4 linked regions of the Mus musculus genome follow. The protein of the gene in region 2 interacts with the protein of the main gene of each other region in a biochemical or structural test. Links are inferred from orthologs where the notes say so. Each region holds a gene or a part of one and is shown on either strand. Other genes may lie near its edges.

The links.
Region 1: the proteins of Ptpn3 (region 2) and Rps6ka1 interact in a test that uses a peptide from one of them, tested with the Homo sapiens proteins (2 studies listed by BioGRID and IntAct). The link is inferred for Mus musculus from reciprocal best matches to the Homo sapiens genes PTPN3 and RPS6KA1.
Region 3: of the proteins of Ptpn3 (region 2) and Erbb2, one has a biochemical effect on the other in vitro, tested with the Homo sapiens proteins (2 studies listed by IntAct, with this or other methods). The link is inferred for Mus musculus from reciprocal best matches to the Homo sapiens genes PTPN3 and ERBB2.
Region 4: the proteins of Ptpn3 (region 2) and Scn5a form a complex in vitro, tested with the Homo sapiens proteins (2 studies listed by IntAct, with this or other methods). The link is inferred for Mus musculus from reciprocal best matches to the Homo sapiens genes PTPN3 and SCN5A.

Annotation. Positions count from the first base shown.
Region 1 is NC_000070.6:133,861,461-133,868,528, forward strand, and holds part of Rps6ka1 (ribosomal protein S6 kinase alpha-1), read right to left. Parts: intron 5,770-7,068; coding exon 5,663-5,769; intron 4,940-5,662; coding exon 4,902-4,939; intron 4,446-4,901; coding exon 4,303-4,445; intron 3,972-4,302; coding exon 3,901-3,971; intron 3,654-3,900; coding exon 3,565-3,653; intron 2,611-3,564; coding exon 2,546-2,610; intron 2,291-2,545; coding exon 2,188-2,290; intron 87-2,187; coding exon 1-86. UniProt on the Homo sapiens protein: Serine/threonine-protein kinase that acts downstream of ERK (MAPK1/ERK2 and MAPK3/ERK1) signaling and mediates mitogenic and stress-induced activation of the transcription factors CREB1, ETV1/ER81 and NR4A1/NUR77, regulates translation through RPS6 and EIF4B phosphorylation, and mediates cellular proliferation, survival, and differentiation by modulating mTOR signaling and repressing pro-apoptotic function of BAD and DAPK1.
Region 2 is NC_000070.6:57,236,269-57,243,336, forward strand, and holds part of Ptpn3 (tyrosine-protein phosphatase non-receptor type 3), read right to left. Parts: intron 4,582-7,068; coding exon 4,518-4,581; intron 3,433-4,517; coding exon 3,260-3,432; intron 1-3,259.
Region 3 is NC_000077.6:98,424,712-98,431,779, reverse strand, and holds part of Erbb2 (receptor tyrosine-protein kinase erbB-2 precursor), read right to left. Parts: intron 7,041-7,068; coding exon 6,921-7,040; intron 6,684-6,920; coding exon 6,557-6,683; intron 4,878-6,556; coding exon 4,804-4,877; intron 4,721-4,803; coding exon 4,630-4,720; intron 4,525-4,629; coding exon 4,325-4,524; intron 3,867-4,324; coding exon 3,734-3,866; intron 3,645-3,733; coding exon 3,554-3,644; intron 2,957-3,553; coding exon 2,796-2,956; intron 64-2,795; coding exon 16-63; intron 1-15. UniProt on the Homo sapiens protein: Protein tyrosine kinase that is part of several cell surface receptor complexes, but that apparently needs a coreceptor for ligand binding. Essential component of a neuregulin-receptor complex, although neuregulins do not interact with it alone.
Region 4 is NC_000075.6:119,488,533-119,495,600, forward strand, and holds part of Scn5a (sodium channel protein type 5 subunit alpha), read right to left. Parts: coding exon 6,975-7,068; intron 4,583-6,974; coding exon 4,529-4,582; intron 3,655-4,528; coding exon 3,517-3,654; intron 3,034-3,516; coding exon 2,929-3,033; intron 1,488-2,928; coding exon 1,217-1,487; intron 1-1,216. UniProt on the Homo sapiens protein: Pore-forming subunit of Nav1.5, a voltage-gated sodium (Nav) channel that directly mediates the depolarizing phase of action potentials in excitable membranes.

The sequences.
Region 1 (7,068 bases), about 77 Mb from region 2:
GTCGTCCTCCATCAGACCAGTGGCCACGAAGCTGAAGCCACGGAACAGCTGATGGGCACCAGCACTGGGAGGGATGCCTGGCGAATCTGTCAAGCAGAGGACATGGGCGTGAGCGGGTACCCTTGAAGCCTGCAGTCCAGGACAGGGAGACTGCCGGGACCGTGGCCTGCTTCAGCAGGCAGCCCTGGAGGGAGCATGTTGAAGGCTCATCTATCCCAGGCCTTGGCCTGTCTGTTAACATGTGTGGCTCAGTGGTATAGCACCTGCCTACATCCTACAATGTAGGTTCGATTTCCAGCATCACGAAAAAAACACAAACACATTCAGTGTTAGATCTCCATGAAACATGGGACAAGTCTTAGACCCGTGGCTCCTCCCAGGGCTCTCCACCCAGCCCTCAGCCTAAACCTCTCCCTCCCAGTACTGGGCTTCCTCTTCTCTTTCCTCAGCCTGATAAATAACTCAACTATTTTGGCTACTCTGGTCTCTTGACCCAGGCCACCCCTCTTGGTCACCGGCCCCTCTCTTGTTTCCCCCCCTACCGTGGTCCAGTTTAGTCTGCCGGCCATGTTCCATCAGAACTCTTCCCTCTGCCTGCCTTCTCCCCTGTATCTACAATAAAAACCCCCTCTGTGCTTTGGGAGGAGCCATGGTCTCCTCTGACTTCATTTTTCATCCACATACTAAATGAATGTGTAGCTGTGCATGACGGCACGTGCCTGCAATCTCAGCCCTCAGCAGGCAGAGTCAGGATTGCTCCAGATGGAGGCCAGACTGGGTTACACAGAGAGTTCTAAGCCAGCCTGAGCCACAGAAAGAAATCCTGTCTTAAAAACTCCAAATAATCAATTAACAAACACAATATAAGCAAACCAACACGTGCTTAGACTGGTCCAGACCTGTCACGTGAAGACTGTAAGAGCCCCACACCCAGCCTCCTGCTCAGGCCAGGCCCAGGATACCTCTTCCCACCCTCCCCACCTCAGGTCCATCCCCTTCTTAGGCCTATTCTCAGCACAGCTAGAGGGACAGTTCCAACCAAGAAGTCTGGGGCCACCTGTGTTCTACACTCATCAAGGGACTGCTCACCCCACCCCCACCCCCAAGTCTGGCAAGTGAGATCCACGTGGCCTCAGCCTCGTTCCTCCCCTTTGGGAACTCAGTCCCGATGAACTCCACACACTCAAGAGTGTCTCGGTGTCGCTACACACGCCGTTCTCCTGGATTAGATAAGCCACTCCTTGTCCATCATTCAAGTCTTAGCTACCTTCCTTTCCCTGAGAAGGCTACCTGATGATGTCGCTCCTCTGACCCTCTATAATCCTTCCCACTGACACCTGAGCTACATGGTTCTGTCTGGTTCACAATCCACCATTCTCACTACGGCTGGCATAGAGCGGGGACCTGGTATGGACTTGGCAGATAAATAAGGGGAAGACAAGACAGCTGTGAAGTGATGCGCTTCCAGTCAACAATGGTGTGCAAGTTACACAGAGGGAACGATCACCCTCTAAGAAGACACCTCAGGGGCTGGTGAGATGGCTCAGTGGGTAAGAGCACCCGACTGCTCTTCCGAAGGTCCGGAGTTCAAATCCCAGCAACCACATGGTGGCTCACAACCATTCGTAATGAGATCTGACTCCCTCTTCTGGAGTGCCTGAAGACAGCTACAATGTACTTACATAAAATAAGTAAATAAATTAAAAAAAAAAAAAAAAGACACCTCAGAACTAACACACACCTCCCCACCCACTGGCAGTATCTGGCTGGACGTCAGGTTTCCCAGCTCATCCAGCCTGTGGGCACCGTCTCCTCTGCTCTGCCGAGGCCTCTCCATCACAGGTCTGCCCGGTCAGATTCCTCATGTCTGATGCAAGTGCAGGCCTTGTGTGTTTAGTGGTCCCAGTGGGCTGGAAGATGCCTGGGGCAGGGGGTCCTGACTTTCCTGTTGTGGCCTAAACCACCCCCACACTTCAGTCCCTCACCGAGAAACAAAGCAGCCCACAGAAGCCCATGGAAGTAGTCGGGTCGCATGAAGTCAGGATGGAGCATGAAGCCCACGGGGCCAGATACTGCCTATCTACCCACACACCTGGGCTTCCAGAATCCTCGATCACCTCTGTAGCCCAGGGTTCCCCAAAGATCTGCTACCCAGCCCAAGACAGACAAGTCAGGTCAGGAACGTACCCCTGGGTGTGCGTGACGTGAACTCGGTATCAAAGTAGAAGGTGTCGTCGGGCTGGGCCACAGCCGGCTTGAAAGGGGGCTTGATCTCACGCCGGTAGAGCTTCTGTAAGGTGGGGTATATGCTCTGGTCACCATGGTGACCCCACAGCCTGCTAGCAGCCCCGACAGGAAGAGTAGAAGCTATGCTGCTCAGTGGATAACAGCAAGGGAGAGCAGCCTTCAAGGGCGTGAAGTCACCCCTCCAAGGGCATGTTAAGGGCTGCTCACCTTCTACCTCCCACAGCTGAGGCCACGGTTGGCAGGGGCCCCTCCCCCACCCTTCCTGCGTCCATCACAGGGCACAGGCACGGGCACTCACATTCCAGTCAATGGTGGAGTAGAAGATATGTCTCTTAATTTCCTCTGCCCCATCAGGGCCCGAGCCTGAAAGAAGCCAAATGAAGCCAACCTCAGACACCCATTCTGTCTTCCAGGCTCTGGACCAGCTGCTACCGTGGAGGGCAGCAGGGGTTCACCATGTCCTGCGTCAGTACCCACTACCCTGAAGCCTGGAGCCCGCTCAGTATTTCCTATGTTACGGAGCTTCTGCTGGTGTACTGAGGAAGGAGGGGCCAGGCAGGACGGGAAGCCTGTCCAAGCATTAATCCTGACAGAAGCTGGACTGACTTCTTTTGAGATCTAACAAGGGCCTTCATCCACTCCCGCCACAGGCCCCCCTCCTCTCTGCCCTTCTTTTCCTACTGCCTCTCGTCTTTATCCCTGAGACAAACGCTCATTCGATTCAACCCAGGGACCTGGACTGGACCTTAGCTGGTTGTGATCCAGATAAAGCCAGCATCCAAAAACCTCGGCAAATACTGTATACTTCACTGAACAACAGGAATGTCCTTCTCTCATCAAAGATCCCCGGGAGCCAGGGCAGAATCAGTGTCTCCACTGACACAGGAACCTGGGGCTCGGAAAGGTGGGGTCCCCTGCCATAGCGCAGGCTCATAAACCGTATTCAATCCCTCAGCAAATGTTTACAGTACTGCTGGGTGCCGGGCAGCGGGGACAGACACAGCTAGGCCTGAGACCTTTCTCGCTCCTAAGCTCCTGCGCCTTCCCTTGAGCCAGCAACCTTGGCAGAGAAGCTGTGTGGGGGCCTGTGTCCTTGTCCCTGAGGGGGTATGAATGACTCAGTTCCTGCCTTCCCCCCACACAGGTCACCCTCCCAGCACCATACATGGAACCAGAAAATAGGGTGGCCAGCAGCATTGTCTGCTCACACAAAGGACAACAGCTCCTTTCAGTCCTAGATGTGGCCCCGTGGCCTAGGCTGCAGCTGTACCCTGATCCTCACCGCCATGTCCCCTCCTCTGAGCTGGGGTTGCTTACCAAGCCGATTGGCAGGATTCCTCTTGAACAGGGCCCGCAGGAGGCTCTGGGCTTCCGTGCTCAGAAACTGGGGCATGCCTAGCTTCGCCCTGGAACAGCCACAGGTCTCATCAGGGCTGAGCCCCACCCAGGAGTCCCAGAGCCCCTTCCCTTTCTCTTTTCCAGCTCAGTCCAGAGAAGCCAGCCACTAACTCACCTCCCAGAGACATTAAGAACACTTCCCACTGGCCCTGGCAGACAGCAAGGGTCTGCAGACAGGGAAAAAGCAATTCACTGGCCCTGCAACTGGGGTGGGATTAGGGAGAACTTGGAGGGCCAGGCAGTGTTGGTGCTTACTTCAAAATCAAGGTCATGGTCTCCTTCCGGTCCTTCCCCTGGAAGGGCAGGGAGCCCGTCAGCATCTCAAACTTCGGGGGGAAAAGGAAACATATAGGTGTGGCCTTGTTCTCTGTCTCCCACACATCCCTCCCCCTCCTTCCCGGGCTACCCTGCTGCAGTCCGGGGATTCTTGCTGGCCTGTTAAGACTTTACAGTCTAAGTCTAGCTGCAGCAAGGCCTGTGCCTGCCTCTGCCCCCCTCCCAACCTAGAACCCAGGAGCAGCACTAAAGCCAGAGGAAGGAAGCAGAGGAGAGTTCCCAAGTTAGGTGAGGGGTGGTACTTCAGGCAGGTGGACTAAAGCCCGCGGCTCTTCGAGGGAAACAAAGTACAACAGTGTGCAGCAGAGCCCGGACACTCACCATCAGCACCCCATAGGACCACCAGTCTGCACTGTGGGTGTGACCCTGGCGGTTGACAACCTCGGGCGCCATGTACTCCACTGTCCCGCAGAAGGAGTAAGCCTTCTTCTCATGGTCTATGGCCTCCTTGCTCAGGCCAAAGTCTGCAGCATGGAGGGCAGAGAAGTCACTTCTAGGATCCCTGCCACGCCCACGGCTACCACACTTAGCTCCTCTGACCGGAGCCAGGTATCACCAAGGTTGTCAGTGAGAGCTCAGTCTGCTCTGAGACCTAGGGAGCCTCGAGAGATGGCTCAGCAGTTAAGAATATTGGCTGTTCTTCCAGACAACCCAGGTTCCATTCCCAGCTCCCACACGATGGTTAACAACCAGGTGCAGGCAACTCTAGCCTCTTTGGGCAACACATGCATGAGGTACAGATACAAATATAGGCAAAACTCCCATACACACACAAAAAATAACTAAGTAACAAGGCCTAGGTTTTTGGCATGTATGTAACTGGCATCGTCTCCCAGGAAACACAGCCATCAGCTGAGACCTATCAGACAGAGCCTGGTTATCCTCCCCAGAGCCCAAAGGAGCAGGTGCCCTTCACTCACCAGTGAGTTTGATGTGGCCCTCCTCATCCAAAAGGATACTGTAACAGAGAGACAGGAGTCAGGAATCCTTAGCTGCAGGCACTGTGCAGGTTCTAGCAGTAACCTTGGGGTGGAGAGACTTGGGCCTGACCAGAAGAAGGGTTTGGTCCAACTCTACTCAAGGAAAAGTGGAAGGATGGAAGCTCGGGAAAGTAACTCCTTTAGAATGGCTAGGGAACTTGTCTTTCTTTCAATTCTACTACATTGTACAGGCTGGCTTCGAACTCCTGGACTCGGCCTCTTTAGCAGCTGGTACTACAGTTGAGTACCGCAATGCCTGACTTGGGGTGTGTCTAACTCTACCACCAGAATCTATCCCAGCTCTCAACACAGCACCGGAAGGCAGTGCATGCGAAACCCCCAGGATAAGCGGATGGAGAGATGATCTTTAGAGCTGGGTGATAGTAACGCAGGCCTTTATTCCCAGCACTTGGGATTAAAGCACTTGTCTCGAAAAACCAAAAGGAAGGGGAATGGAGTAGGGCCACAGCTGGGCTGCAGCCTTTAGTAATAGCAGTACCGACCAGGCAATTCCTAATTACCTAAAGTGAACCTGCTGTTGGCCACAACCTGCGACAACCACCCATCCCTCTTGACAGCCCCAAAGAGAGATAAATTCCTGGGAGCGCCACAGCATCTCCCAAATGGCCCTGTTCTAAAAGGGCCCAAGAGCAGTCCCTGTGCCCAGGAGAGATCAGCAGTATGGCAGGGGCTTTGCTCACTTCTCAGGCTTGAGGTCTCTGTAAATAATGCCCAAGCTGTGCAGGTGGTCCAGGCCCAGTGCCAGCTCAGCCAGGTAAAACTTCACATCCTCCTCTGTAAACATGACCTGCAACAGGGAAAGACACACCCGTCAGCTGGCTTACCCCGTTCCCCAGGAGCTGGCCTACTGAGCAGTCAGGGCCTCTTGGTGTGGAGGGTCTACCCTGGGGACACAGTCAATGCAACACATCTTTCTCTAATACACAAGTCACTCCCTGCGCTACAGCTTGGAAACAGCAAAGAATGGAAACACCCAGGAATAAAAGACTGGAATAAACTGCTTCCCCCGGGGGAAAATGGGCAGTTCTGCAGCTTTAACGCAGAATAAGGAGTTTGCTCACATCCTGATGCAGAACAGTCCGAGACACACTGACACTAGAGGCCAGGCACAGAACAGCGGGCAGAAACTATGATGTCTCATATAAGAAAAGAGGGGTAGGAGCTAGAGAAAGTACCCAAGGAGCTAAAGGGAACTGCAACCCTATAGGTGGAACAACAATATGAAGTAACCAGTACCCCGGAGCTCTTGTCTCTAGCTGCATATGTATCAAAAGATGGCCTAGCTGGCCAACACTGGAAAGAGAGGCCCATTGGACACGCAAACTTTATATGCCCCAGTACGGGGGAACGCCAGGGCCAACAAGGGGGAGTGGGTGGGTAGAGGAGTGGGGGGAGTGGGTATGAGGTACTTTTGGGATAGCATTGGGAAATATAAATGAGGAAAATACCTAAGGAAAAAAAAAGAAAAAAAAAAAAAGAAAGGAGGGGTAGACATGTATACAGAACATGGACAGAACGTATATACAGAAAGGAACATTAGAAGGTTAAAATAGAAACTAGTAAGAAAAATGTTTATTTGCAGGGGTAGAGAGACTGTGTAGTGAGGAGACTTCACCATGAGTATCTGTCTTTTGAATCATGGAAATGGACTGCCTAATTAAGCATTAATTACTTTTCGAGACAAGGTTTCTCTGTGTAGCCCTGGCTGTCCTGGAACTCACTCTGTAGACCAGGCTGGCCTGGAACTCAGAAATCCGCCTGCCTCTGCCTCCCGAGTGCTGGGATTAAAGGCGTGCGCTACCATGCCCAGCTAAGCTAAGTTTTAAATACTGAAAGTATGGTTCTGAGAGAGTGACATTCTGTGGGTAAAGACTCTTGTCACCAAGTCTTGGAACCCCTATGGTGGAAGCAGAGAATCTACTCTTACAAGTTGTCCTCTGGTCTTTGAATGCACACTTATGTGTTCACGTGTCTGTCTGTGTGTCCCTGTATAAGCAGTTCCTTGTTGTTGTTGCTGTTTTAGAAAGTGTGAGTCTCCCCTGTGCCCAGGGACTGAGTCAGGTGTTGGTATACTCTAGACATACAC
Region 2 (7,068 bases):
ACATATAATAAATAAATAAATCTTTAAAAAAAAAAAAAGAGAGAGCTGACATCCCGAGGTATAGATCGCCTTAGTAAACTGTCTGAAGTCTGGTTAGCAGTAACAGTTCTGGCATTTTCTAATTTTACACCATGCTCTGATGTCTTAAACATTCCATGTATTTCCTTATGCCCCAAGACCAGCTGATGAAAACAACAGAACAAATAAATACAGTGAAATTCCGGTTCTAGTTTACAGTATCGACTGCGGCCTTCACTCTGATCAAAGTTCACTATAGCATCACCAGGAGACCTATTCCCCCGAGGTCAGTTATATCAGAAGCCACATGACCACTGATTAAGGCTGTCAAATTAAAGTTAGGGAAGCTGGCAGCAAGGCTTAATGTGGCAGATCCCTAAAGCACATGTCAGGGGCTATTAATAGAAATTTGGAACTGTGCCACTGTCCCTGGAAAATAATGAACAGATTCGTCTTTCACAGAACCTATCAGAGGGCCCAACACACAGACCTACAGATGTATCTCCAGGGCTGGGCTGGCCGTGGTTTCCTTGACTGCCAAATGATCAGAAGGGATAAGGGCTGGGGAGATGGCTTAGCTTGGTGCTTGCCACCAAGTCTAATGACTTGAATTCAATCCCCGAGTCCCACAGGACAGAAGAAAACTGACTTCCAGAAATTATCCTTGGCCTACATGTGTTTTCCTCCATACCACCTGCACATACATACATACATGTGAAATAAAAAGAACAATTTAAGAGTCAAAATTAGAAAAATAATATATGGAGCTGGTGAGATGGCTCAGCAGGAAAGAGCACTGACTGTTCATCTGAAGATCCTGAGTTCAAATCCCAGCAACCACATGGTGGCTCACAACCACCCATAATGAGATCTGACGCCCTCTTCTGGTGAGTCTGAAGACAGACAGCTACAGCGTACTTATGTATAATAATAAATAAATCTTTGGGCTAGGGCAAGCAGGGACTGAGTGAGTGGGGTTGACTGGAGAGCAGAGGTCCTAAAAATTCAATTCCTAACAATCACATGAAGGCTCACAACCATCGGTACAGCTACAGTGCACTCATATACATAAACTAAATAAAGCTTTTAAAAAAATTGTATATATATGTATGTATGTATGTGTATTTGGTCAAAATTAACAGTATACTAAAAGATGGTATCAATAAGAAACTGATGACTTGTGTGTGGCAAAATCCCTATGTAACAGGACAGATCTAATGGAGCAGAAGAGTCCCCAGTCCCCTTGCTGAATTCCTGACCCACAAATCTTGAGCTATAACAGACTACTGTTGCTGTAATGTCCAACACAGGAGTTCTTACGTCATAGTAGATGAGCAGGACCAAGCCAGCACCTGTACTGTTTACAGAGGGAGAAGTCTGCAGGGAAGGAAACAGGCAGCACGCTGAAACTCAAGGTAGAGAAGGATTTGAACTCTGTCAACACAGTGTTGGAATATACCCTTTCGGTCCCTCATCTGCCACCTTCCCATCTGCCGCCTGGAGACTCAGGTCTAGGCAGCTCTTCTTTGGAAGAAAACTGCTTCCTTCTAATGAACATGTGTAGCATTACAACATCTGGGTGGGGGCCACACACACACTTCAACAGTAAGGAGGCCCCCTGTCAACTGCAGCCGTCTCACTGAACGTCTGCGACTAGACTGTAGTGGGATTCTTCTTCACACGGGCCATCTGCAGCACAGAAGCTATGCACAGCAGAGAAGCTCACTGGTACTTCTATGCCTTATGATCAACTATATATTTTCATGCTAAACTGACTTTCTGTTTCTTCAACCTGACTTCTTCTGTCTGCAGATCTGACCTGTTGGTGCACCTGAACCTGACCCTGGAACTCTCACAGACAGGGGGCCCACTGAGCTGCTATGGCTATGGCTGCTCTCACTCGCTAGGTTCCTGAGGCGCCTAGTGAGGGAGACCAGGCTTGGAGTGCTCAGGATTACTTCCATCAGGGACGTCCCCTGGGAGGGCATGACCCAGGGAGTGTTCAACCAAGATGCACACATGGCCTCACCAGCTGCAGCGATCTGGGCAGTCAGTCCTGGCGCTGTGCAACAGCAGCAGGTGAGCCCTCTGCAGACAGTGGGGCTATTGCTGGTGGCTGACTGCATCACGCTTGGGAACAGCTCTCATCTGAGGCCTCTGGCTAGCTAGAGGGACCACCACGCAGGAAGGATTCAGTTTCCATGTGGCATCATGGGGACAAGGCTCTACAGGTATCCCTGCTACGTTATTCCTATGGCCTGCTCAGTAGTAGAATATTGAATATAGAAATAGTAGACAGAAATATAAGAGGTAAACACTTTAAAGATAATGTAACACTTTAAAGATAATGTTTTTGCTATTGGTTCCTAAGAAACAATTCCTCCCCTACCAGAGGCAATTTGCCACTTACTAAATCATTACATTACCTAAAGACTAACACATAGTAGGAAAGCCACTAGAACATTCTTACAAAATTTCACATCATACAATAGCTCATACTTGAGCTTCATTTAGAAAAATCCACATTAACAATAATCAATCACTGTTTTGAAAAACCAGCAGCAAATGGTTTAGAAATCCTAGCAACTTGATAAACAATTTCTGCTGTGTCTTCTACAAAGCAGGCTTAGAATAAACACAGTTAATTTAGAGACCCAAAGGATATTATTTTAAAAATTATAATGTGCATATGACATATATGTACATTTATTTTACTGTTCTTACCACTAAGTATTTTGAATATCACTCTTATAGGTAACATTAATCTCTTAGGTTCATTACAAGAAACAAATACAATTAAATATATGCCCTCCTTTGATAAACACTAGGTAATTGTCAATTATAATTATTACTTTGTAACTATAATAGGTAATATATCCTCTGTTCGTTTTATAGGGTGCCTTATGGATTCACATTGTGGGGGAGGGGTTGGTCTAGTGGCCTCCAGCTGTGAGGAGCCTACCATGCTGGCACCAGGATGACACTCAGTGACCTTTATTGGACAGGGCGTGGTGGCAGTTGCAATACTAGCTGTCTGGGAACTCAGACGACAGCAGGGTTGAGGGTGTGGAAGCTAACCCTGGGAGAGCAACACGCACCCGAGTGTGTACTAAGAGCTCAGCCTCCCCTAGAGACTCAGCCGCCACTCAGGGATCTCAAATCTGGAGTCCAGCCCCAGAGCTGCCTCTAGCACACATCAACATCACAGGATAATGTGGATGGTCCCTGGAAGTAGACTCACTTTTTGGGGTTCCTGGAGCCTAGAGTCCAGTACTGAGAGAGAACATTCTTTTCCTGAGGTAGTAACTTTTTTGCCTGAAAGAACGAATGGTGTTCGACGCAGGATTTCCACAAGTTTTTGCAAGATCGGTAATTCAGCATGTTGAAGGCCACGATATGTTCCCTGGATTCAGCCTGGGAGGAGGAACAGGAAAACGGTAGGATGATAAAAGTGTGTCCGGCTCGCTACCCATCTGTAAAAGCCGGGGAAGATGTGACAGAGGAAGGGCGCAGGCCTCCAGACACCTCAGATGCACCCCAGTGTCCTAGGAATCATTTTTTGGAGCAGAGCTGTGAACCCTCCATGGGTGGGGTCATAGAAATAGCCTGAACCCATGTCTCCTCACCGTCTGGGGTCCTCCACAGTCACTGTTTCAAACCTGCTTATAGTTCAAGAGAGGGCTTACTTGCTGCTGCCATGTGAAAACTTAAATCTCAGCTTTTGTGAACATCTCTTTCCTGAAGAAATATTCTCCCACCCTGACCCCCTGTGCACTAGAGGTGGGGGGAGGACAGTCAGACAGTCTAGGTTCCAGTCCTTGGTACTTTGAGCTTCAGTGATCCCATTTCTAAGGGTCCGTTCTCTGTGTGGGGCCAGTCTAAGGGCATATCATATTTGAAAAGCTGGGGCAGTCGGTGACAACTATGCAGCATAACAAGACAGGGCGTGGTGTGGAAAGGGCAGGCGCCTTGGTTCAAATTCCAGCTCCTTCACTCTGAGGCTGTGGGAGCCTTGGCTTCTTTACTGAGTGTGCTTGTGCTGTGGCTAAGCAAACAAACAGAGTTGTCTAGGATCCTGCCAATTCCTCCTGTAAGACCCAGTCCGTAACAAGCTATCACTTTTGGAACTTAGCCATGTGGACGCTTCCTGCTCTGCTCTGCTAGGTGCCCAAACTGGGCCCTTTTGTCTAATCCGTACAGCTCCCTGAGAGGTGGGCACTCATTACTTGAGCTTCTAGAAACGAGGGAATATGGACTAGAGGAGATGAAAGAAAATGCTCAGCTGTTAAAGGGGGAAGAGGCAGGGTCTACACCTCGAGTCTGACTATAAAGCAAGTTCATTCTCCACACAGGCACCAACCAACTCACAGAGATGGCCACAGGGTCTGAAGACCTGACGGCCACAATCTTTTCTTCCTAAAGACACAGAAAGCAATCCCCGAGGAGCTGAGAGTAGGACAAACCTCAACAAAGCAGCAAACACAGCAAGTGGAACTCACCTGTTTTTGCCGCTGGTGTATGAAGAACTTTTTCCTTTTGAAAGAAATTTTGAGTATGTTCACCCTGTAAAAAGCAAAGCAGAACAAAACCACGCATAGCACAAAAAATAAAGCAAGGTGCAAATCAAACAGAGACATCGGGGCTCAGCCGGGCTATGGCTGACCCTCTTCTGCACGGGTCCTCTATTTCATCATCCAGAGACGGCAGACCACTGGGAGTCTGTCTTGGCAGAACTCAAGGAGCTGACCGAGCTGGATCTCCACGGGGCCTCTGGATTGTGAGGCAGCTTTTAAATAACCAGAAGCGTGGGCCATGCGCACTCTTTGCTGTAAGTCTCTTTGTGACACTGAAGCCCTGCAGGAGCTGGTGCCTACATGGGGGAAGACAGCTGAGGGCAGTGTGGAGCAGTATGGCCAGGCCTGGATGCGCCCCAGCTCTGTTACTTAACAGCCACGTGTGCATAATACAGAATAAAAGGCACTCGTCATCACCAAATATATTTTCATATACCAGGCCACTGCCAAGGGCTTTATAAACACTGTCTCTACTGGGTTTTTGCAACAGTCCAGAATAGTATGTAGTTATCCTCTATAAGAGGAAGCTGAGGTGCAGAGATGTCACTGTTTGGAGTCACTGTTAGAGCTCAGCCTCCAAAGCCTAGGATCTTGGACCCTATGATATCTGCTGAGTGGTGGCCCATGACAGCCTTTCTCGCCACGGTCTTATGACAATTTAGATGGAGTAAGCATGCCAAGTTCTTATAAGATTATGGTACACCACTAAAACTGATGAATGAAACCAGTGTGTGTGTGTGTGTGTGTGTGTGTGTGTGTGTGTGTGTGTGTGTGTGTGTTCTGGTGGGTGCATATGTGGAGGCCTTCGATGTCTTTCCTCAGGTGCTGTCCACCTTACTCTGAGACAGGGTCTATCTCTCATTTGACCCTGAGCTCACCAATCCCATGAGGCTAGGCTGGCTGGCCAGCGACCTCAGAGGTTAGCCTCTCTGACCCACCAGTGTTGGGATTACAAATGTGTGCCACCACGCTCAGTGCCAGCTCACCTTTTAAATAGGTTTTATTCACCATGACAAGCGACTATAATCTACACAGTACTGGGGGGAAGGAAGGAAATCGACTGCTCTCTGGGATCATACCAAGACCTTGCTAAGAGCATCCTAGAACAGAGACATTGAGTAGATAAAGGGAAAGTTTATTCAAGTGATATTTCCCCAGCGGAAGATAGACAGACAGACACACAGAGCACACACACAGCACATTTCCATTATAAAACACCCATTATAAGCAATCTGCTGGCAGATACATTTGTTTAACTAGTGAATTTTGGGAATGACTGCAGGCCAAACCAGAAGGCTCTTATGTCCCGTTCTTCTGCAGTGACCACGTCTCCTCCCTAAGTGTTGAGGGGGCAAGCACAGGAATTCCTATTTCACAGGACTCGGGAGAACCTGCTCACCAGTGTGTGAGTTCCCACCCTTGTCTTGCTGGGCACAGACTGCTTGTGCACTACTGGCTTCATATGGGGAGGGGGGCCCTGCTGGTGCCCCTGGTTCAGAGGGTTCTGCTCAGTGCTTTCAACTCTCTCTCTCTCTCTCTGACTGTGTTCTTCACTAGAGCAAATCTGAAGGATGCAGATGTGGTTTCCAGACTGAAAGTCCTACATCAGGCTGCCTACTGCCCTTCAGTCACAGGAACTATGAAATGGACTGTGTGTCTAGAGGGACCAAGTCCTGTGCCAGGTCCCAGGGACAGAAAGAACAAGACAGTAAGGAGGTACTGCAACCTGGGTATGTACAACCTAACGAAGGAGACAGGTGTCAAATGATGCCCACAGCCATAGCCTCTTGACCACTGCATGCAGGAGAATCTTGCTCCCATTAGAGCATCTACCATTACGTCTACTCTGGTGTCCTGTGAGGCTCTCCATGGCCAAGTCGCTCTCTAGTCGCTGGCTAAGGCACCGCATGCTCTAGCCTCAATCACCCACCTACCCTGGACTGACCACTGTGTTCTCCCTGTTCCCTCTCTGTACCTTCTTTCTAGAATGTACACTGTGAGGCCAAAGCCTGCTCTCTTTAGAGTCACTTCTGTAGGCTCTGGGCCCTTCTGTACCCTGCCCTTGCTCACTCTCCAGGGCTGACCTCTACTGGTCTCCCTTGTTAGAGTTGGGGTCTGAGGTGCTTGTGTTTGAACACTCCATCCCGTTCAAGTGTCCACACGTCACCTGCACGGCATTCTGGATCCTCTGAACCGTGAGTCAGCTTTGCTTCCCTTGAGTCGCTGCTTTCTATTATTGTGTCACAGTGTTATAAAAAGTAGGTAATAGAGCACGGGCATCAGAGACAGGCTTTCACTGGAGCCAGTCTGAAGCTGAAGAATAACCAAGATGATCAGAACGAGCCCCTGAGGAGGTGTGCCGAGAGGCCCTGTCAGGCCTGACGCAAAGGCTTCTGTTTACAAAGCTGCTTAGTGAAGTTTTTGGCTTCTGGATATCTTTAAGGATATCCAGAATCAGATATCCTTATCAGGAATC
Region 3 (7,068 bases), on a different chromosome or scaffold from region 2:
GGGGCTCAGGCCCACCTGGCTCTCTGCTCTGCTGGGCAGCCTCGTTCGTCCAGGTCCACACATCTGCAGAAGAGAGAGAGAGAGTGCCATCATCAAACCTGGGAACAGCCTCCTGGGGCAGGTGTGGCAGGATTGTTCCCATGTGACAAGCAGAACCGGGCTCCAGGTCTCCAAATTGCTCTGTACTTGTCCACAAGAAGAGTCCCTCTTCAGTCTGGGAATCCACCTCCCCTGCACTGTTGGGACTTCCTGCGCTGGGCAGGAAGCAGGGCACTATGACGGTGGGAAGATCAGCTAGTCCCTCCATGAAAGAGGCCTAGGGTATATGGTACATGTGAGGAGAATTTGGGAAGACCTATTAAACACACAGGGTGGCTGGGCCATAGCTTAGTGGGAAAAGGTCTACAAGGTCCTGGCACCGATCTCCACCAACCAAGCAATAAAATGTCAACAGTTCTGCCCCAACAGTTGGTACTACCATGCCAACACCAGGTCACAAGAAGGCATGCACACAGATGCCCCTTTGTGTGTGGAGCTGAACAACAACAACAAAAATCAGGCCTTACTAGAAGAGGAGGTGCCTAGTCTTACTGTAACTTGATATGCCATGGCTGATCAATATCCATGGGAGGCCTGCCCTTCTCTGAGGAGAAGGGGAAGAGGAATGGACTGGGGGTTGGGGGGACTGGGAGGAGGGAAGGGAGGAAGGAAAAACTGTAGTCAGGATGAAATAAATAAATAGGCAAGCAAGAGCGACGATATCCCTCAAATAGGGCCTGTACTGAGTGATGTGCTATGAAGGGGGACATCTGTAGAGGGTAGATGGAGAAACATTTGTAGGAAAAGATACAGAGAGTGGGTGAAAGGCAGAGCACAGAATATGAAGGAAAGTGTTGGATTATATCAGGAAATGAGGGCAAGCTGGGTGGTGATGGCCCACACCTTTAGTCCCAGCGCTCGGAGGCAGAGGTAAGTAGATTTCTGAGTTCAAGCTAGTTCCAGGACAGCCAGGGCACACAGAGAAACCCTGTCTGGACAGGAGAGGACAGAGGGAGAGGGAGGAGGAGGGGAGGGATGGGGAGAGGAGAGGACTGGAGAGATGGCTAGGAGGTGAGAGCACTGACTGCTATTCCAGAGGGCCCAGGTTTGATAATCCAGCACCCACATGTCAGCTCACACCCCTCCATAACTCGAGGTCCAGGGGGTCCGACTGCCTCTTCTGGCCTACACAAGGCACCAGACAGATCTTCATGCAGGCAAAACAATCCGCACTTTTAAGTCAGCTTGATGGAAGCTACTGCCATTTGGGAAGAGGGAACCTTAATTGAGACAATGTTTCCACCATTCTGGCCTGTGCAAGCCGGTATAAGCCTGTGCACATTTTCTTGATTGATGGTTGCTATGGGAAGGCACAGGTCCTGGTGGGCAGTGCCACTACTGAGCTAGTGGTCCAGTGTACTGCAAGAAGGTAGGCTGAGCAAGCCATGCCGTGCAAGCCAGTAAGCAGAGTCCGGTCGCATCCTCTGCATCAATTCCTGCCTCCAGATTTCTATCTTGAGTTCCTGCCTCAACTTCCCTGGATGGGACTATGATGTGGAGATATAAGTTAAATAAACCCTCCCCCGCCAAGTTACTGTTTATTGTGGTGTTTATCACAGCAGTAGAAACTCCATACACACACACACACACATACACACACACACACACACACACACACACACACACACACACACACACACACACACACCTAAAAGAAAGAAACGGCCACACGTTGGTAGTTGGCAAGATGACTCAGCAGGTAAGGGTACTTGCCACCACACCTGACAACTGCATTCAATCCCTGGAACCCATAGGGTGGAAGGGAAGAGCTGACTCTTTCAGATTGTCTTCTGACATCCACAAAGTCTCCAGCACTAGGGACTTGGGGAAACAACTCAAAGTACTCACAGTAGAACCGCCAACAGTATTATTTTATATCTTATGTGTAGTTTAAAATTTCTAATGCACTACTGTACAGATTTAGTTCGGTTACATTATTTATTTGTGTGTGTATGTATGTGTGTGTTTGTGCTTGGAACTTGGAAGGCATGCATGTGCCACAACAGGCATGTGGAGGTCAGAGGACAAGCTCTGGGAGTTGGTTCTCTCCTTCCATCATGTGGGTCCTGGGAACTTAGGTGAAATCACTAGGCTTATGAGCAAGTGCCTCTACTTACTGAGCTATGTGTTAATGTGTTATTTTTAACTTTATTTACATGAATGTGTGTGAGTGTGTGTGTGTGTGTGTGTGTTGTGTACACTTGCAGAGGCCAGAAAAAGACATCAGATCTCCTCAAGCTAGTTATCAGGCAATCAAGGGTCTCCTGTAGTGTGTGTTAGGAACCAAGTTCCAGCCTTCTGAAAGCAGCGAGTCCTCTTAACTACACAACCACCTCTCCAGACCCTAAGGTGTTATTTTTTTGTAATTAGAAAAGAGATAAAAATTACACCTCCGGCTGAAGAGATGGCTCAGTAGTTAAGAGCATTGACTGTTCTTCTAGAGGTCCTGAGTTCAATTCCCAGCAACCACATGGTGGCTCACGACCATCTGTAATGGAATCCGATACCCTCTTCTGGTGTGTCTGGCGAGAGCAACTGTGTACTCACATACATAAAATTAATAAATCTTTTTAAAAAAATTACACCTCAATATAAGTGAACGTAGACTTCTGCCCCTTTCACAACAAGAGCTCAAAAAAGGCTCCCCCCATGAAGGCCCTCCTTTCTACAGAAAAGACTCCACTCCCTCCACTCACGAGTGGGTGCAGTTGATGGGGCATGGCTGACATATGCCCTCCTCATCCGGGTACTTCCAGATAGGCATGTAGGAGAGGTCTGGCTTCACACCACTGGGGCAGCGAGCCACACAGGAAGATGAGTCCTTGTAGTGGGCACAAGCCTCACACTGGTCAGCCTCCTGGACAGAGAGGAAGGGTTTGTGAGGGTTTAGGGATGTCATCGTTATAGCAGAAGGATGGGGCCCCATGTCCCCAAATCAGATGCACTGCCTCCCTGATCCTGGAGTAAACATCCCTGCTCTCAACAAGGAAGTGAAGGCGCCCAGAGAGGGACGTGCGTTCCCTAAGGTGTGACAAGTGACAACTATTATGTACAAAGGTTTTATTCCATGCTTGGGCACTGTGCCAAATCCTATTTAATTCTGTTCTCACCACACCCCAACCAGGGAGGAACTATTACAACATTCACCTTATAGAAGTGAAAACTGAGGCTGGAAACAGGGCCTGCATTTGGTCATTAGCGTAGCCACTGCCAAAGACACAGGCCTTCTTGGAACCTTGTCCTAGCCTGAAAGGGCTCCGGTGTCAATAGCAAGAAGGGGTAGCCCAGGGTCCACAGCATAATGTGAGCAGTTCCTAGTCCCCAGTCCCAGCCTCCCTGATCTTCCCTGCTTCTGCTCTCCAGTGAAGCCTTCTCTGGGAATATTTCACCCTGTAGCAACTGGATGGACCCTCAGCTCGTCCCTCCCCCAGCCCCGAGCACACCAGCACCTCACCGATCCATAGCAGGTCTCCGAGCTGTTTTGAGGCTGACACTCGGGGTGGCATGGCAGACAGTGCTTGCCCCTCACATACTCCCTGGGGAGCCTGTGAGAGAGGTGGGTGTAGTAAGGGGTTGGGGTGGGGCAGAGTACCCCGAGTACCCCTCAAGCCACCCACTCCTCTGCAATTCGTACCCCTTCCATACTCGGCACTCCTCCACACACTCCTGGCCCCGGAGGAACTGACTGCAGTTGACACACTGGGTGGGCCCTGGCCCCCAGCAGTGCCCACGGGCACACAGTGAGTTACAGACCAAGCCCTCAAGACCTGCAGCAAGGAGAAGGAAGTGTTTGGCTAGGCTCAGGTCTAAGGGAAAAAGCTGTAAGCATGGCTCCAGGCTGAAGGGTTAAGGGTTGGTGCTAGAACATGCAAGTTCAAGAAACAGGGGAGGGATGTGGATGCCTGGCAGCACGGCAGGACACAGCTGGAAGCCATGCTCAAGGCTAAGCCATCCATAGGCAAGTGAAGAACCAGGCTGTAGCCGGGCATGATGGTTCACGCCTTTAATCCCAGCACTTGGGAGTTAGAGGCAGGTAGATCTCTGTGAGTTTGAGGCCAGCCTGGTCTACAGAGTGAGTTCCAGGACAGCCAGGGCTACATAGTGAGAGCCTGTCTCTAAACAACAACGGGGCTCTAAGACATGATGCACAGGTTATAGGAGGCTGCCGCCAGAGGCTACTGAGACTCCTCTGTGCCAGCCCTCAGTGCTGGGCTTCCTGTCTTACCACATGCCTCTTCTGGCCGGTTCCCACTGTGGAGTAGGGCCTGGTGCGGGTTCCGGAAGAGCTGGTCCCAAGGTACAGTGTTTACAAAGCAGAGATGGGTGTTGCGGTGAATGAGAGCCAATCCACTGCCCAGCTCCCGCAGTGAGCGTAGCCCCAGTGAGTGAATCCCCAGGCCTTGCAACGTCAATGAGTAAGCACCACTGTGGAAATGGGGGCTTCCAGTCACAAGAAGGCACCTACTCTAGCCACCAAGGGCCTCAGGGCATGTAGCCAGACCTCCTAGCCTTCCCCTCCCCACCACTTACTCATGGAGAATCCGTCCCCGAATGACCCGAAGGTTCTGGAAGACACTGAGGTCTTGGAAGCTCTCTGGCCATGCTGAAATGTATAGGTAACCTGCAGGCAGAGGAGGGGGCTTGGTATGTAGAAAGGTCCAGAACTCCTAGTTCCTGCGAAGGAGGCCAGAGCGTACAGCCTACCTGTGATCTCCTCCAGGGTTTCGAACACTTGGAGATGCTCTGGCTTCAGTGGGGCAACGCCGGAGGAGGGGTTCCTAGAGGGACCAGAAGGAGTGGTCAGTAGGGCAGGAGCCCCGGAAGGCCTTGGCAAAGCACTCTGCACCCTCACAAATGCCTTCAGATAGAGCCTATCAAGCCGTTCTCATCCTGAGGCACAAAGCCCAGGGTCAAAGTCTGGCAGGGCAATATTTGTGTCCTTTGGTCTAGAAGTCTGATTTGCGGTATATCCTGCAGAGACACTGGCTTCAGCTGCCAGAGGCAGAAACAAGCTGAACTGTTTGTAGGAAAAGACATTTGAAAATGGCCCAATATCCATCAGTGATACACAGAACACTGATCTCTGCATATGCTAAAATACAAACACGGGGCGAGGGGTGTCTCGGCATCCATCCAGCGCTGTTCTAAGCGTGCCCACATAAACCGCCTTGAGCATAGAGCCATGATGGTCCTCACTGCACACATGAGGCACTGAGGCACAGAGAAGAGAGGAGACGGCAATGAGGCTAAGCCATAGAGCTCTGCCATACAAACATGAGGACCTGAGTCAATACCCAGAACCATATAAAAGAGCTCATGTTAGCCGAACATAGGACTGTAATTCCAGCACCTACAGAGACAGGCAGATCTCTGAGTTTGAGACCAGCTTGGTCTACAGAGTGAGTTCCAGGACAGCTAGGGCTACACAGAGAAACCTTGTCATAAGGAGGAGGAGGAGAAAGGGGAGGAAGAGGAGGAGGAAGAGGAAGAAGAGGAAGGAGAGAAGGAGGAAGAGGAGGAGGAAGAAAAGGAGGAAGAGGAGAAGGAAGCAGCAGCACCCCGTATGTGATACTGAGCTTGTAACCCCAGCACTGGAGAGGTAAAGACAAAACAGTTCCTGGGGTCCCCTGGTTGTCATTGTAGCCTGTTTTAGTGAGCTCCAGGCCAGAGAGGGACCCTATTTTGAAAAACAAGATGGACAGCTCCTGAGGAGTCATACCTGAGACTGTCCTTTGAACAAAGGCACACACACAGATAGACAGACACACAGACACAGATACAGAGAGAGAGAATAACAGTCAAATAAACAGAGAGGGACAGAGACAGACACAAATACAGAAAGAGAAAGAATAACAGTCAGATAGGCACAGACAGACAGACAGACAGACAGAGGTAGGTTTTAAACCCAAGTCTGTGCCCTGTTGCCTGTCTTTGCTGGCTCCCACTCGACAGCTATTGTAAGAACGAGTCAGCTTTGAGGTCTGAAGAGATGGCTCAGCAGGTAAGAGCATTGACATCTCTTCCACAAGGCCCAGCTTCAATCCCCAGCACCCACATGGCCGCTCAAACTATCTGTAACTCCAGTCCCGGGGCTTCTGACGCCCTCACACAGACACACGTGAAGATTAAACACCAATGAATATAAATTTTTTTTTAAAAAAAGAGGTTCCCCAAAGCAAGGGATGCATGGCAGTTTCCATGAACCACCTCCCCAGTCAAAGCTGTCACTCTGTGTCCACCAATATACAGAAGGCCTGGAAGAACACACACAACTTTAACAATGCCCCCTCCGGATGGTTTGATCACCACATTACGTCCCCGCCTGTGGATTAAATGATATGTATACCTCCAACTCCATGCCCTGGCTCCCTGTGGACTCCCACCTGCCTCCTGTGTATTCTTAGCCACAAACTCTGGGTCCTCCATGACACCACCTCAGGCCACTGTGTACCCTTACCCATCAAAGCTCTCCGGCAAAAATGCCAGGCTCCCAAAGATCTTCTTGCAGCCAGCAAACTCCTGGATATTGTCACTGGTGATGGCCCTCGCCCCTCGGAGGTGCTCCATGCCCAGACCATAGCATACTGAAGGAGAGGGAGGTGAAAAGGGGCCACCTCAGGATCACATGCACACCAGAGACCTGTCCGCTGTCCCATCATGAAGTGACAAGCCTCCTCCCTATGTTGACAAGAGAGACTGGGGAGACTGCTCCGGAGAGGGGCAGGGGAGGCGACAGCAGAAAAGAAGTCTAAGCAAGAGTTGGGCGGACTGGACTGGAGTGGCGGTCGGGGCCGCAGCTGGTCTTGGAATGGGGTGGGTACCTCCAGCACAGGGCTTGCTGCATTTCTCACACCGCTGTGTTCCGTCCTCAGCTGTGACCTCTTGGTTGTTCGGGGGACAGACCAGAGTGCAGGATCCCACTTCCGTGGAGAGGTAGTTGTCTGTACAGATTTGGGAATGTACATCCAT
Region 4 (7,068 bases), on a different chromosome or scaffold from region 2:
CAGCTCTGTGACAATCTAGTCATGTTCTGCGTAACAACCATCAAGTCAATGGCAGACTGTAGTGTAGACCCTCCTACAGGGTCACACTGCTCGGTAACCTGGCAGCCGTCTTTGTGTTAGGTAAATTCTGTGATGTTCACAAAATGAGGAAATCGCCTAATGACACATCTTCCAGAACATCTCCCTGGTTAAGCAGTGCCTAATGATATGGAAACCCACAGAATGCACACTGTCAAGGGAATTTTAAGTTAACCTTCTGTGAATTTTATGGTACATGAATCACGTCTCAATAAAGCTGTCATATTAGAATTTGGATTCTAGCAGAGTGGTGGTGGTGCATGCCTATAGTCCCAGCACTTGGGAGGCAGAGACAGGTGGATGGATCCCTGAGTTTGAGGCCAGCCTGGTCTACAGAGCAAGTTCCAGGATGGCCAGGACTACACAGAGAAACCCTGTCTAGAACCCCTCCCCTCAAAACAGAATTTGGGTTTGGGGCTGAAGAGACATGGTGAGGATCTTGTCTGTGTTACTCTCTCATCCTGTGTTGTCCCCCCTCAGGAAAACTGCAGGAGGCAGGTGGTTCTGTAACTTAGAACACATGTTGGACTGTAGAGTTTTCCATCTCCAGAGATGATTGATGTCTTCTACACTATCACGTGATCTATCTCTCATTCTTAGGGACCTGCCTTGCCTCTTCTTCCTTCAGCCTCGGCTGCAAGCTTCTGTTCGGAGGGTAGGAGAGTCTCTGTAGTGGCCATTCCTTTTTCTAGCCTCAGCTTTAAGTTTTCTGAATAGCCACAGAGCTGTGTCCTAGGGAGGGTAGGGTCAGGATGGGATACTGAGTTCTCTTCAGGTAAACTTAGGCCTGAATGGGCCCTGACAGTCAAGTTCTTTTTAGAGTGATGCATAGGTCTGTGCATGTGTGTGCAAGCATGCATGTGAGGGGATGTACATGTGTGTGGTATATTGTGTGTGTGTGTGCATGCTTGTGCATGTGTGCTTATGTGTGCTTGTATGTGTACGTGTGCCTGCTTTCGTTTGCTTATATGTATGTGTGTGTGTGTGTGTGTGTGTGTGCTTGTGTGTGTGTGTCTAAGGGGAAGTCAAGGAAGACATAGCAGATGAGGAGCTACGGCACTAAGTAGAGTGCAGAGGGCTGGATCAGACACACATGACCCGGGCAGGACTTCCCCGTCCAGCCAACTTGCATACCCACCAACGATGGAGAGGATGACAACCACGAAATCGAAGATGTTCCAGCTGTTGGTGAAGTAATAGTGGCGCAGGGCAGCCATCTTGACAATACACTCTCCTGTGAAGATGGCCACGAAGAGCAGGTTGATCTTGGCCAAGATGTTGACTTTTTCAGGGCTCTGATCATCTGTCTCTACCATCATGGTCACCATGTTTAAACAGATGAGGAACATGATGGTAACATCGAAGGCCTGCTTGGTCACAATGTCGAATATGAAACCCTGGTACTTGTTCTGGAAGAAGAGGCGAGAGGCTCAGTGCACTGGGATCCTAGAAAACTTGCCAGTCAGCCCAGACAACTTACATCCTACTCACCCTTTGTGAGACTACAGCCCCCAACCCTCACCACACAGCATGTGTAGAGGAGGAAACCATGGGGGTTGACCAGATGGCCTTCCTGCCTGTGGACTCCATCTCTTCCAGGCAGAGGCCTGGCCCCCGGCTCCCTCCTCTGCCAGTCCACCCTAATGCACCTCCAGGTAGATGTCTACCCTGGGTTTCAGCACACTATCCATGTGCTGCTCCTGGGCCTCATAATCTGGAGATTCAAGGTCAAATTTAAACTTCAATCCTAGCACTTGTATATGCCTCCAGATTAACATATTTTCGACATGTTATCTTATGGAGTAGATGTTATTTATTCTATTGAGTAAAATTCTATCTATGTGTTTCTAAAAACATCTTACTTTAGAAATGTGCACGTGTATGGCTGCATATAGGTATGCACACACGTGAATGCAGGTTAGGTGCCTGTGGGATACAGAAAATGTTATTGGACCCCTGTAGCTGGAGTTCCACACAGCTGTGAGGAAGCTGCCTGATGTGGGTGCTGGTAGCTGCAGTCAGGTCCTCTGCAAGAACAGAACACAATTCTAACCACCCAGCCATTCTCCAGCTCTTCTGTGTGCCACCAATTGTAAGGGAGCCCGGATGATCTGAAGGAAGAGGGAGGATCAAGAATGATGTTCATTCCTCACCCCCTTGGTTTGCCACCCCCAATCTAGGAGGGAATAGGATGCATAGGGAGGAGGAGGAGGAAAGCTCTGTCCAACTGGCTTGTGGATTAGGGCCAGCTCACCTAAGTACTTTGAACAAGTCTCCCTTTTTTTTTTGTTTGTTTGTTATTTTCAGGACAAGGTCTCAATACGTAGCCCTGGCTGGAATTGAACTCACAGCGATCCCCCTGCCTCTGCCTCCCAAGTACTGGCAGGTACCGCCATGACCCAACTCCTCATCCCATTTTCAAGAAGAATGGCTTGAATGGGCCAAGAAAGTCAGGCTAGCAGAGAGCCCAGCACCACCCTGGCCCTACTCGAGGGGACAAACCCAGTTCTCCAAGGAGCCCAGTGTTCAGAGGATGAGATTGTGAGTGGGGGGGAGGGATGTGAATGCCCACTACACTGCCTGGAAAGAATATATACCACTGAAAGGGAGGAGGGGGCTCACTGGAAGCAGCTGAGTTCCTGTGAGTATGTAGTGTGCCCTAGATGTCACCACCTGACCTCATGCCTTCCCCCTATCTGCGTGAGGCTCGGACTTCTGTGTGGGAGAGCAATCCCAGAGTCCCTCTCTGCTGAGCAGCAGCCTGAAGAGCCCTTAATGGGAGGCTTCTCTGATGGAGGAGCCCAGGGCTCCCGTGAGACCCTCCTGACTCTGCCAGGTAGCCTGGCTCACCAGAGGCCGTGGGATGGGCTTCTGGGGTTTCTTGGAGCCCAGCTTCTTCATGGCATTGTAGTACTTCTTCTGCTCCTCCGTCATGAAGATGTCCTGGCCCCCTAAGTATAGAAAGACAGCACCCGCATAATTTTGGGGTTTTCAGGACCTTGCTTCCCAAGTGAAGGTAACTTCCTGTCTCAAAGGTATATTTGGAGAGATCCCCCCAAATCTGCCTTTCCAGGGTCCCCCCATCCCTGTTTTCTGGTTTTGTGGCCTGCAGATCCAGTGTTCACCTGAGCCTCTCCCTTGGCTCAGCTCAGGCAGGCCTAGGCTCCTCTCTGAGCATCACTTAGTTTGGCTGCTGCTAATCAATGGCTTTTCTGGTACATCTCCTTGGGCCTCTGCACAGTCTCACCCCTGAATCTCTTAGCTAGATGAGGGCAGGCGGAGACCCACTGAAGTCCCCTCTGTTCCTCATGGCCACCTCACACCCCTCCCCACCCTATTTCATCTGAATAAAGAGGTTCATCCCCGAGGTCTGATGGGGACCTCTGGCTCCCCGTCCCCTTCTGCCCCCTCCCCTGGCGGAGCCAGTACTCTACGTATCTTTTTCTTCTGCTGGTTGAAGTTATCAATGATGACACCAATAAACAGGTTGAGGGTGAAGAAGGAGCCGAAGATGATGAAGACGACGAAGTAGATGTACATGTAGAGGTTGTCCTCCCACTGCGGCTGCTCTTCATACTGCGGGGAGAAGCCAGGCAGGAGGCGGTCACACAGGCGGGAGGGATGGAGCCACAGTGGGGCTGGTGTGTGAGTGTGCGGCTGTAGTGAGGCCATCAAGTGCATGCAGGTGTGCATGCGTGTGTGTCTGTGTGTGTCTACGTGTGTGTAAGTACATGTGTGTATGTGTAGAGGTTGTCCTCCCACTGCAGCTGTTCCTCTTACTACGGGGAGAAGCCAGGCGGAGGCGGTCACACAGGTGGAGTGGGACTGTGTGTGTGCATTTATGTGTGTCTCTGTGTGTGTTAGAGCTGAGTGGAGAAGATGATGGCAGGCAATGACAGGCTAAGGGGTGACCCCCATATCTGTGTGTCCAGGCCCTGGGTCCATAGGGGCCTGGGTGACACTAAGCTCTCTCTCGGTCTTCTCCCCTCAAGCATCTGTATGACTGGGTGTGGCACAAGGACCAAGGAGAAATTCATCTCTGCCTGCTGCTTCCACCTGTCCTGAGCAATGAACAAATCATGATGGGCTGGATCTGGTGGGATCGGAAATGTGTTTAGACTGGGGACTGCATGAGAGATCCCACAGCCTTGCTCCAGGGCCAGGCCTGAACACTAGGAAGTTGAACCTTAGGCATGCTCTGTTCCATCCACAGGCTGGGCTTTCAGGCCGGGCGGCCAGGAGGCCCACATACTGGTTTTGTTGTGGGCTACACACACATAGACACACACATGCACACGCATGCACACACGCATGCACACATGCATGCACTTGATGGCCTCACTACAGCCACCACCCCCCCCACACACACACCAACCCCACTGTGGCCCCATCCCTCCCACCTGGGTGACCGCCCTGCCTGGCTTCTCCCACACAGCTGGTGGCAACCTACCCCTCTGGAGTCCACAGCCGCATACATGATGTCCATCCAGCCTTTAAATGTCGCCTGTGAGGAAGAGACCATGAAGGTCATCAGATTTGGTGATCTGCTTCAGCTACAAAGAACTCCCATCTCAATTAGGCCAGGATCAGCCTCCTACAAGAAGCAAGCAGGCCCCAGCCCACCTGTTCAGTAGTGCTCAAAAGGCTGGGTGGCCTAGGGGAAGGCCTCAGGTAGGGGCTGGGGATGGAGGAGAAACACCATGAAGGCCATGTTAGCCTTCTCAGTTGAGGCCTCTTGTCTGGTAAGGCTAGGAGATGGTTCACTGCTCAAAAACATACATTTCAGACTCTAGACCCCAAGGCTGGTCTGTGTCCTGCCGCTCAGAGGACCAGCATCTTGCCTGTAATGACAGATCCTTTCTACCACTGTTCCGGTGAGGGACTAACAACTCGCTCTCCGGAAGGAAAAGAAAAATCCCTACTGTATTTGCCGATTTCTCTGATGTAAATGTTCCCAGCGCCGTGCTGTGACCGATGGGAAGAGAGGCAAGACCCACAGTGTTAACGCGCACACAGCACAGACGGCAGCCCCCCGGGCGGTAAAAAAGCACGCCAGGCTCATGTGTTTTAGCATCACTTAGTCATAAAGTTTGGTTTTCTCGTAAAGGTTGTGTTCAACAACCAGCTTGTATCATGTCTGCAAATGTGACCCTCAAGTCCAGTGAGCCGGCATCAGCAGAACCTAGCACACCTCACAAGGCTGCGGCCGAGAGGGAAGGAGGCTGCGTGAAGGAGTGGGGGCTCTGGCATTGGCTCTTCATCGTCTGTACAGTTGGGGCCCACTGTGAGAATTCAAAAGGAGCTCAGGAGACATTCGTGGTGGTGAGACCAACTTTCCAGGGGAGTCCCACTGGGTCCCCAGCAAAACCTAACCCTTCCCCAGGCCTCCCCTGGAGCCACAAGCTTGGTTCTGCCTACGCTCCCCCTCTCTCTTATTTTAAGGTTTATTTTTATATTTGCACACGTGTATGTCTGTGTTGGGGGTCTGCGCATGTACATAGGGGTACCGTACCCTCAGGCCAGAAGAGGGTGTTGGGTCCCCTGGAGTTGGAGCTAAAGGTAGCTTGGCGCTGTCTGACATGGGTACTGGGGACTTAATTCGGTGTTCTGGAAGAGCAGGAAGCACTCTCAGCTGCTGAGGCATCTCTCTAGTCCCACTAGTATTCTGTGTCTAAGCGTTCTCCCCCAACCTTCAGACAGGGTTTCTCTGTGTAGCCCTGGCTGTCCTGGAACTCGCTCTGTAGACCAGGCTGGCCTTGATCTCAGAGATCCTGCCTGCCTCTGCCTCCTGAGTGCTGGGATTAAAGGCAGGTGCCAACACCACCTGGCTAAGAGTTCTTTAATTTTTTTTTTTTGTTACTAAAGAGTAGTGTGTGTGTGTGTGTGTGTGTGTGTGTGTGTGTGCGTGTGCATGTGCGTGTAGGCCAGAGGTCAGTATCAGGCATCTTCTTCAATGGTTTTTCACGTTATTTTATTACATTTATGTGTCTGAGTGTGTACATGTGTGTTTACCATACCATTCATGTGGAGGTCAGAGGGCAACTTGCAGGAGTTGGCTCTCTCCTCCCACCGTGTGGGCACCAGGGATTGAACTCGGTCCCTAGGCTTGGTGGCAGCTGCTTCACCAGGCCTCTGTCAGCAAACTTTCACTGAATCTGGAGCTGGCTGGTCTGGCTAGTCTGGCTGGCCCGCAAACCCCGGGGCTCGTCCTGTAGTTACCTCCCTAGTGCTGTGCTTAGGGGCATGTGCCACTACAACTGGCTTATGATGTGGGTGTCTGGGATCTGAACTCAGATCCTCGGTTTGTGTGGCAAGCCCTTTACTGACTGAGCTGTGTAGGTTGATTTTTACGGCAGGTGTTATAACTACTAAACCATCCTGCCCATAAAGTAAATGGACAGTCAAGAGGACCGGCACATCAAAGATGAAAGCAGACATGCTCCTTTTGGGGGTCAAGGTGCGGTCTGAGGATTCAGGGCCGTGCAGGTGGTAGGCAAGTGCTGTACCCCTGAATCATATCCCCATCCCAAATGTAGTCTTTTAAGCAGCCTGAGACATTTTATGACAGAGGGTGGTCAGTTATAATTTCACCAACAGTTCAGTGTCTGGGCAGTTGGCAGTCTTTTGTATCTAGCCTGTGCCACCTAAAGAGGTCAACTCAATTGATGGCTGGGAACTGGTCCTATCTCATGCTGCCTTGCCCCCAGGCCAGTCACCCTGGACGATGTGTCCAATCTATAACTGAGAGTCTGAGGACTTGGCACAGAGCCACTACCCTGGGCCCTGTTACCCTACTGCAGGGACCACCTGGCCTGCTCCTGCCCATGCCAGGGTGAAGGGCAGATATCTGAAGCACCAATGGAGGAAGGGAGGGATCCCTGTTCTTCCGTACTCACCACCTGCAGCAGGGCCAGGTACCCAGCCCCCACGTTGTCAAAGTTGACTTTCACCTTGGTCCAGTACAACTCTCCAGTCACGTTGAAGGACTCA